Mus musculus: one gene and its partner. The main gene of each other region encodes a partner of the protein of the gene in region 2 in a complex. Links are inferred from orthologs where the notes say so. Each region holds a gene or a part of one and is shown on either strand. Other genes may lie near its edges.

Region 1 (3,801 bases), on a different chromosome or scaffold from region 2:
GCCAGGACAGGGACTTGGCCCAGGTGTCTGGGGAGAAGGTTTCTGTGTTGGCTAGCACGATCTCACAGAGGAGTTCCAGAATGTGGGTCACAAGATCCTTGCTGTCCAGCGTGAGGTAGCGCTTCTCCCGGGGGAGCTGCCAGAACTTGCTGAAGCTGTCCAGGAGCTGGCACAGGCTGAAGAGCAGAGGGAATGGGGAGCAGGTCTGCAGCCAATACTCTTCCAGGCCTGCATTGGCTTCGAGGGTCTGGATGAAGAGCTTCAGACTCAGGCCCACCTCCTCCATGTCCAACATCAAGAAAGGCAGGACAAACTCCTTGAGCACCTCATCTGGCTCCAGAAGAGCAGCCACTGGAATCCCCTGTGGCTTCACAGGATTCGTCAGGCAGCTTACCAGCTCCAGAAACTGCTTCTCTTCTTTGGGTGTGGAGAACTTGGTCCAGACAGTTTCTTTGAGGCAAGACACCATGAAACTGGTACATGGATTTGCCCCTTGTTCTTCCGTGAACTTCAGAGCAGGGAAGGCAGTGAGAATCTGAGCCAAGAACCTATGTGTGCCAAGATTGGTCACAGCTAGGCTACACATCTTCTTCACCACAACTTCTGGGTTCAGGATCACCAGGTGGGCCACGGAGGCCACAGCTTTAGCCAGGCCCTGTTCAGAGGTACTCTGTGCGAGCTGGTTAAACGTCGTGTTGAGGTCTTCCTGAAAACCCTCCAAGTAATCAGACAACCTGTCTGAGAGACCCTTTGGCCCCAAATAATGCAGGACACCAGAAAGAACTTTATTTTTGTCTGGAAGAGAGAGGTCTTCATAGCATTCCAGGGTCAAGCAGATTACCTGCTTGATCTGAGGCTGGGGGATAACCCGATCAGAGCTGATGACTTCCATCACTGTTTCTAGCAGACTCAAGACCAAGTCTGGTTCTCTGAAGAGAGACCTGTTGTTAACCAGGCAGGCAACCCACTCGTCTGAAAAGGCCCACTTCTTCTCAGAAGCAAAAATGTAGCACATTTCCATGTGCCGGTCCATCTTCTGCTCAATGATGGCCATGGCAATGGAGGCAGTGATGTCCTCAAGGCCCTTGTCATTCAGCATTCTGCTGGTTTTCCTCAGGAAGTCCCTGACACACTCAGCCAATTCTGAGACCACCTCCCTCTCCTCCTTGGGCATGTTGGTAGTATCCAGGTAGAGCTCCAAGTTCTGGCTGAAGGAAGTCAGGCTGTCACACAGCCGGTAAGTGTCATAATTTGTTCCCTGACTGCTGTTGAGCATGTCCTGCAGTTCTGCACCCCACTCTTGCAGCAGGTTGTACATAAGCTCAAACCCCATGAAAACAGTCTCGCTGGGGAGTTTGGCCAGTGAGGTGAGACTCACATCTCGCTCTGCCTCCTTTACCTTGTCTGCCAGGGCCTGTCGATGGTATGGGTTCTGGGTGTCCGAGTTCCACACAGAGATCACTGTAGCTAGTTTGTCTAGGTACACGGTGGCCGACACCTCCTGGGTGTCATCCTCCAGAAGTGCAAACACACTCAGCATGTCAGCCAAGTTAGCTAAGGCACAGCACTTCATTCCAAGGGACAGGATTCTCTTTTGGATCTGCTTCAGCCCGTTAAGCAACATGGCCAAAAGAGGCATGGTGGGACCCACATCTGGGTCAGACTTAAACCTCTTTGGAGGATGGGAAAACTCATCTGAGGATGGCAAGTATTTATGGGCCATCGTCCTGAACTGGGAAAGCAAGGGGTCCTGCTGGTCGCCCTTGTGCTTCATCATTTCCCACCAGACATCTAAGAAGAAGGCCACATCCTTGGAAGATGTGTCAACAGTCATGTGCTCCAGGAAGCTCTGTAGTTCTGAGCGGCCAATGGTGGTAGGCAAGGCCATTAGCAGCTGAATGAAGAGTCCAGAAGCTTCCAGAGACTTGAGCAGCTCAAAAAGGACTGTGTGGTTGATGGTAGGGATCATGTTGCCCACGGAGAAGAATACATCTTCCTGCCACCGAGTATCAGTGTCAGAAGGGCTGACAGGGGAGGGCTGAAGAACCTTGGTCCAGATGATGATCAGTGCTTTCTTCTTCCAGGCAAAGGGCTGGGAATGTGCTGTGGCTGAGGAGATCTCCTTCAAGGCCTCCACAATGGGCTGTCCCACGTGTTCCCAATCAGACTTGGTCAACTGTACCAGGGCTTTGGGGTGGAACAGCTGCTCAGCCATCAAGAAGCCCCCATGCAGAATAGTCATCTCCTCACAGATATTCAAGGGTCCTGCACAGAGAAGCCAAGAGGTAATGAAGTCATCAGATTAGCGAGAAGCTAGGAGAAGGAAACAGCCATCGGATGGCTATCATTTCGGCTACGGTCTTGACATCAATGGGAGGGGAAGGCATGGTTAGTAAGAGCTCACAAAGGGCTGGGGTCAAAAGGTCTTGGCCGAGGAACAAAAAACCAGTTTCTAAGATCTTTGGCCTGGATATCAGGACAATGGCACCTCTGGAAATAGGAGGCAGAGAGGGATTCAGAACAGGCTTTCAAGTGTTTACAAAATTCTATTTTAATAATGTGTTTGTATCTGTGGGGGTTTGTGCATATGAATGCAGCTTCCACAGAGGCCAGAAGAGGATGCTGGGTCCTCTGGAGCTGGACTGAGCCTACTGGTGTGGTTGCTGAGAACTAAACTCTGGACTTCTACAAGAAACATATGTGCTCTTAACTACAGAGTCATCGCTCGTGGCCCCTCAGGACAAGCTTTAAGGGAAGACAAGTTCAGTGCTGTTACCTAGAGTCTGAGGTAGAACATTTAGTGATGTCCTTCAGCAATGGCAATGCGTGAAGGAGAAAAGGCCTGATGTGAGTGTAGGCAGTACCAACTCGGAGAAGTGCATGAAAATCAAGGAAGTGACTAAGATTCCTCAGCAAAGTGTGAAGAGGACAACTGGACTGCTGAGGTTACAGTGAGTAGAGGATAGGGGACAGTGCTACCACATATGCATTAAAGACATGACAGAGGCCAGCAGCATGGCTCATGATTAAAGATATCTGCCACCAAGCTTGATGACCTGAGTTTGAGCCCTAGAACTGATATGGTAACCTCTACAAGCTGTCTTCTGACTGACACTTGTGCACCGTGGTATCCACACATACACACCAAGAATGTAATTAAAAAACAAACAAACAAAAAACCTAAACAAAACTGAGTCCAGTGATGGCAGACTATGGAAGATACAATAGGTAGTCTTTGGGGGATGGGAGGTGCTTATTGTCTTAGTGTTTTTGGTTGTTTCTGAGACAGGGTCTCATTATGAACTGGATAGCTTTGAACTCAGATCTGTCTGCCTCTACATCCTGAGTGCTGAGATCAAAAGCCTGTGCCACCACACTCAGTTAAGCCTGTTTTTGAACTCAGAGCCTTGCATGTAACAGGCAAGCACTCTACCACTGAGCTGTATCCGGAGCCCTGCCTTCCTTCTTTCTAAGCACACTCCTGCTTCAACAAGTTTCAACATTCTGTGCCTTACAGGGAAAAAGTTCACCCAGCAGTTTCTTCCAGTCAAAAAGGACAAGCTGGTGAAGGTTCTGGCTCTGTGGTAGGAACCAGGAAGTGGACAAAACAAATATTACATCAAGACAGCGGTCACTCATTCACTGAGTTAAGAACTGACATTTAAAGGGAGGCCATGTGGGGGTTTAATCAAGATAATGGATTCAAATCCTAACTCAGTTGTTAAAACATGATGTGACTTTACACTTTACTGAGTCTCCCGTCTGCATACATGAGAATATATGTATGCATATATACATGAG
Region 2 (5,602 bases):
TCATGTTGATGCTTCCAAAATCACATGTAGGCCAGCTTTCAAGGAACTCACATCCACCCTTTCCCTCTTCCTGTCTCTCTCCATGGTGCTGAGGGTCGGTCCCGGGTTTCCTGAATGATGCTTTTACAGCCACAGCCACAGCCCCCACTGGTGAATACTCGGCAAACTTTCTACCATTGAGCCACACCCCCATCCTCACATTGCATGATTCTAAGCATGTGGGGACATGCTCTAAGTTCCTCTTAAAACGTTCTCACTATCTGCCAAGCCTGTTTTAGGATCCCTATGAAATCAACGATATCAGTGACTGTCCCCATTTTGAAGATGAGGAAGCTGAGTCCCAAAGAGGTTAAGAAGTTAGTCCAACTAAAGTGGATCCTAAACACAGTATCTGAATGGCACCACACCACTAATTCTGAAGCCAACCTTCTTGGATTTTAATTCTAATTAGCTGTGGGACTTGGACAAAATGTAAAAACTTCAGTTTCCTCATCTGTATAGTGGAGATTATATTAGTTCAGACCTCACCAGAGAGTACACTGCTTCTGCCTAATATAGGATAATATTTAGTGGGGGTCGTATAGTGCGGGATTTGTGTACCACCAAGAGAATCTAGTCAGGTTCACCTGCCGCTGCAGCCACCACCACCACCACTCCCCTACCCGCCTACTCCCCATCTCTGTCCCCCGACCCCCATCAGATCACTTCTGCCTCCTGGCTGTTTTGGGATCTTCGGAGCCTGAGTTCCATTTCCTGACAAACTGGGGAAAGGAAGTTGGGGGTTGACAATAAAACCCTTTACCTTTCTCACTTGGAGATTGCCAGAACTACCCGGGGGTCGCACAATCAATAAGGGACGCAGGAAAGTTCCCCAGAGACGCTGCGGATCCAGCTGCCCTACCACCAGCCGCAGCTTGGCTTCTGAAAGGCTTCCGATCAGCGGGACCTTGGTTGGGAAATGGGATGGGAAAAAGAAAAATGAAAACAACCCCATTCCCACCTTATCCTGGGCGCCGTTGCCTACTAGGAGTCCTGGCTCTTCCTGGTAATGCAAATCTCCAGCATCAAAGATTTCCTAGACTGGGAGAAATCTTCAAAGCAAATCTGGTCCAGCCTACCGCAGTCCTAACGAGGAAATTGCAATCGGGTGATGGAAATTTCTAAATAGATGGCTTGGGCATAGAACTCAGTTCTACCAGTGTTGCTATGAGGACTCGTCATCTTCAGTGGGGTCTATCACAAAACAAGCCTGAAGCCTTATTTTGTTGGGTAGGGGCACGCGCTCAAGTCATGGATAAATGGCACAGGCGGCAAAAGCCAAATGATAAGACCACGGTAACCTGAGACTCAATACGAAGGGAAAGAGGGAAATGACGCTGGCTGGGCACCAGCCAGGGCTCACCCGCAGATCCCGGCTCCGTGACATCTCCTCAACCCCAGGGTGCCAGCTGTTCCAGACGATATAGAAAGCCAAGCCCATAGCCAGCGCCAGCAGCAGCAGGGGCAGGAACTGCACTCGCGGCAGAAGACGGCGCTTGGAAAGTGAGGGTGGTTTCATGAGGCCACGATCCTCGAGCCGCTGCCGGGGCCGCCCGCGGCTCCCGGGACTCATGGTAGCTTTGCTCTGAAACCAATCCCGGTATGGTGGTTTGAGTTTTAGGCCAAGATCCGCCTCGCTGAGGTTACAAAACCCAATAAAGAAGCAGAGTAACTGCGTCCTTCCCTGAGACGATTGCGATTGGCTGTCCTAAGCGCCGCCCCACCCAAAAAGGAGGGCGGAAACCTTAAGGCCCGCCTCCACGGAAGAGGACCAGTCAATGGGCTGCGTCCGAATGTGCGAAACCTTCCAAGGCGCGGGGTCACGCCCCTCACGGAAGTCGATCAAGAAACTGTCGTTCAAGGAAAAAAGGGGCGGCATCCATCCCTAAAACAAGGAGCCGATTGGTTTACCTGAAGCCATGCCCTCAAGAAAAGTGTCCGAGGGTATTTGGAAATGGGGTTGTGTTTTCCATCTTCCAACTGGACGGTTTGACGGGAAAATAATTCTAGTCAGACCCCGTATTATTTTCCTCATGAGCAGACACCCTATTGTGATCCTCAGAAGCTTCAAATCCTCCTTATAGGCATTTTCTACAGGAGAGTGCAGCCTGAAGGGTCGCTATGGTAACAGGCCACGCCCACAGCCGCTGGTATTTGGTTGCGCAGGCGCCGACGGAAGTGAGCCGCAGGAGACGGAAGTCCCGCCCTTCTCGCCCTGTACGCCAAAGGCTGGAGCAACGCGCTTGGAGGCGGGAGTGATCTGCGAGCGAAACCTACACCATGTGAGGCCGGGCTGGGCTTTGGCGGGGCCGTGGAGATGGAGGTGGACAGTTTAGCTGAATAACGGTCGAAATGGGGTGTTTTTATAGCTGAGGGTAGAGTTCCTCGGGCAAAAGTAATGTTTTTCCTTCTGGGGTATTTGAGATCGGGCTTGGGGCCTCGCTCGGATCTTGAGTTCCGGAGAGGGGACAGCTTTATTCCATAACGGGCATGAGACTCTCCGAGGTCCTGAGTCTTGTGGAAAGGAACCATAAAGGGAAAGCTGAGTCTGATGGCACATGCCTGGAATCCCAGGCCTCGAGAGGCTGATGCAGGAGGTTCGCTAGTTGGCCTTGGCCAGCTTCATAGCGAGACCGCTTCCAAAAGTAATAGTAATTTTAAATGGAAGTGGTCTTATGAATAAAGAGCTTGGCGGGGAAGGAAGAACTGTTAGAAATAGTGAAAAGTATGGGACGTAACCAGGATAAATTAGAGAACCTAACTAGAGACTGTCAGAGTAGCAGGGTACTACAGTGGTTTGGTGCGTGTTTATTCATTGAGCATATACTATGTAGACTGCTTGTAAGTTAAGACACATGGTAAATAAAAGGTCCTTGCCTCCAAGGGGGTGGGGGAATCTCCCTGGTGCTTGTAAAAAGAGTGGAGTAGGAAAGCCATAGAGTAATAAATAGGTACATACACCTTAGATAATCAGGTTTGGATGGAGAATTGAGCAGGAAAGATATAATGCCAGTAGGTAGCACAGTAGGATGCATTGAAAGCCCAGTTCTTGGGATGCAGATTTAGCTCAGTGGACAGAGTACTTACCTACTGTGGGTACTGGGTTTGGTCCTTAACCACACACAAACTAGACATAGTGGCACGTGCCTGTACTCCCAATACTCAGGAGGCAGAGACAAGTCTGAGTTCTGGGGCAGCCAGGCTTCTACAGTGAGATGTTGTGGGGTGGGGCGGAGGTTCATGGAGAGAGATGATTGAAGTTTAGGTTGCGGATAGAAAGGGCCAAGGTTTGGATGTACCATGGTGGCAGATGACAAGATATAAGGATAGAGTAAGGTTTGAAAGAAGAATCAACTGCCAGGCATGATGGTGAGCCTCTGTCATCTCAGACCTTAGGCAGTGGAGTCAGGAGAATTGAGAATTCAAGGTCAGCGGTGGGTGGAAGAGGTTAGGTAGATGAGCCGGGGCAGGCTACCATGGAAATGTCTCTCCTGCCTCCAGAAAAGACTGCACCAGAAAGGGGGCTGGGGAGACACTGGACAGTGTGGCTTTGATCACGTACATTTCCAACTTGAACCCATCTCACCCCTGGGTTCTCTATCCAGGAGTCTCCTCAATAAACCCAAGAGTGAGATGACCCCAGAGGAGCTGCAGAAGCGGGAGGAGGAGGAATTCAACACAGGTCCCCTCTCAGTGCTCACGCAGTCGGTCAAGAACAACACGCAAGTGCTCATTAACTGTCGCAACAACAAGAAGCTGCTGGGCCGGGTGAAGGCCTTTGACAGGTGAGTGCTGTCTTGGGGAGGGCTGGGTCTGGGTCCGAGGGGCCTGAAGGAAAGGTCATTCCAGAAGGATAATAAGGTGGGCACACACGGTGACAAAGCACCTTTAATCTCAGCACTCGGGGAATCACTATGAGTTGGAGGCCAGCCAGTGTCTCATGGCACGACCTAGCTCAAAAATGTAGAAAGTGGCGATGCTTAACCTTTTTATAATACATATCTTACGTGTTTAGGTGTTTTGTCTGCATATGAGTCTGTATGCTATGGACATGTCTAGTAGTTATCAGAATCCCCTGGCAGGAAATTGGACTGGAATTTCGATATTTGATTTGTTTATCTGTAGACCAGACATCAGTGTCAAATATCTTGTATTGCTTTGTAGTTTGTTTTGAGACAGGGTCTTTACTATGTAGCTCGAACTGGCTACAGATGTGGCAGAGGCTAACCTTACACTTCTAATCCTCCTGCTCCCATCTCCCGAGCGCTGGGATTACAGGATTGCATGAAGCATGCCGTCCTGCTTTATTGTTTTAGTTAGCATGGGACTTGCCTTGTGACTTAGCCATACACATCTGGCACTGTACTTTGCTCTTATTCACTGTCCTCAAGCAAGCATTTGTGGAAAGAACTGATCCAAGTGTGAACAATGGCCACCCGGCCCCATGAGGACAGGACTGTGCAGCACTGGAGTGCGCGTGTTGGGAGCCGTGTCTAACCCCAGCACCCTAAGACCCTCTGGAGGGAGCAAGTGCTTCTCTCCTGCTGTTTCTCTCAGAGTTAGAGTTAACGCCAGAGCCAGGGCCATTTTGGTGGGCTTTACTCTGCTGGGTCCTGAGTTCTTTATTCATCCAATCTTCACACCAGCCCTATGAAATAGACTGTCTCCATTTCATGAAGGGGGAAACTGAGGCACAGAAGGGACACTATAAAGTGAAATCACTTTGCAGCCTGCCCATCCCCACTGTGGAGCCTGGGCTTTCCTTATGCCTGCTGCTGGAGAGTTCACACAGTGCCAGGCAAAGGTGGGCACTCGGAATGCCCCCCCTTACTCCAGCTTCCCCCCCCACCCCTACCCCATCAGGCACTGCAACATGGTGCTGGAAAATGTGAAGGAGATGTGGACTGAGGTTCCCAAGAGCGGCAAGGGCAAGAAGAAATCCAAGCCTGTCAACAAGGACCGCTACATCTCCAAGATGTTCCTGCGCGGGGACTCGGTCATCGTGGTGCTGCGGAACCCACTCATCGCTGGCAAGTAGAGCCTGCTCCCTGCCCTGCGAAGGCCTGCAGAACCCTGCCCAGTGGGCGAGAAATAAAACCCTGTGCTTTTTGGTTTTTATGTTTTCCAGTGGTCTTCTCTGCTCTTGGGTCTTAAAAGAGTGTGTTGGGCTGAGCACTAGGACAGGGCCTGTGGGTGCTGCGGTATATAACAGCCCTGTCTGCAAAGGAGACAGTTTAATTGGACTTTTGTGTATTGTGGACAGAGGGATTCTCTGACAATGTGCAAGTGGGAAAGGGAAGCCTATTTAAGAGGCTCGTGGAGGACCCAGGGCCTTCTGCTCTACCCACAACTCTGTCTATCTGGTATCTCTGTCTGTGTCCTCCCAGGCGATCATGGGCTGGAGGTCAGGAGTCTCTGCCCTCTTTACATGTATATAAAACATGTATGGGTGTTTTGCCTGGATGTGTCTGTTCTTGGTACCCATAGGAGCCAGAAAAGGAGAGTTGGATGCCCCTAGAGGTAGTTACATGTGGTGGTGAGGCAGCCATGTGGGTGCTGGGAA

What was found. Proteins that work in one complex are often made in the same cells at the same time.
Region 1: Snrpd2 (region 2) and Gemin4 share a complex: the UniProt entries of both Homo sapiens proteins name them as parts of the SMN-Sm complex. The link is inferred for Mus musculus from reciprocal best matches to the Homo sapiens genes SNRPD2 and GEMIN4.

Annotation. Positions count from the first base shown.
Region 1 is NC_000077.6:76,211,659-76,215,459, forward strand, and holds part of Gemin4 (gem-associated protein 4), read right to left. Parts: intron 3,053-3,801; exon of another isoform or gene 2,598-3,052; intron 2,286-2,597; exon of another isoform or gene 2,266-2,285; coding exon 1-2,265. UniProt on the Homo sapiens protein: The SMN complex catalyzes the assembly of small nuclear ribonucleoproteins (snRNPs), the building blocks of the spliceosome, and thereby plays an important role in the splicing of cellular pre-mRNAs.
Region 2 is NC_000073.6:19,147,574-19,153,175, forward strand, and holds Snrpd2 (small nuclear ribonucleoprotein Sm D2), read left to right. Parts: upstream 1-2,264; 5' UTR 2,265-2,319; coding exon 2,320-2,321; intron 2,322-3,644; coding exon 3,645-3,824; intron 3,825-4,902; coding exon 4,903-5,077; 3' UTR 5,078-5,153; downstream 5,154-5,602. Other genes in the region: Qpctl (glutaminyl-peptide cyclotransferase-like protein), read right to left, coding at 803-946, 1,403-1,612. UniProt on the Homo sapiens protein: Plays a role in pre-mRNA splicing as a core component of the spliceosomal U1, U2, U4 and U5 small nuclear ribonucleoproteins (snRNPs), the building blocks of the spliceosome.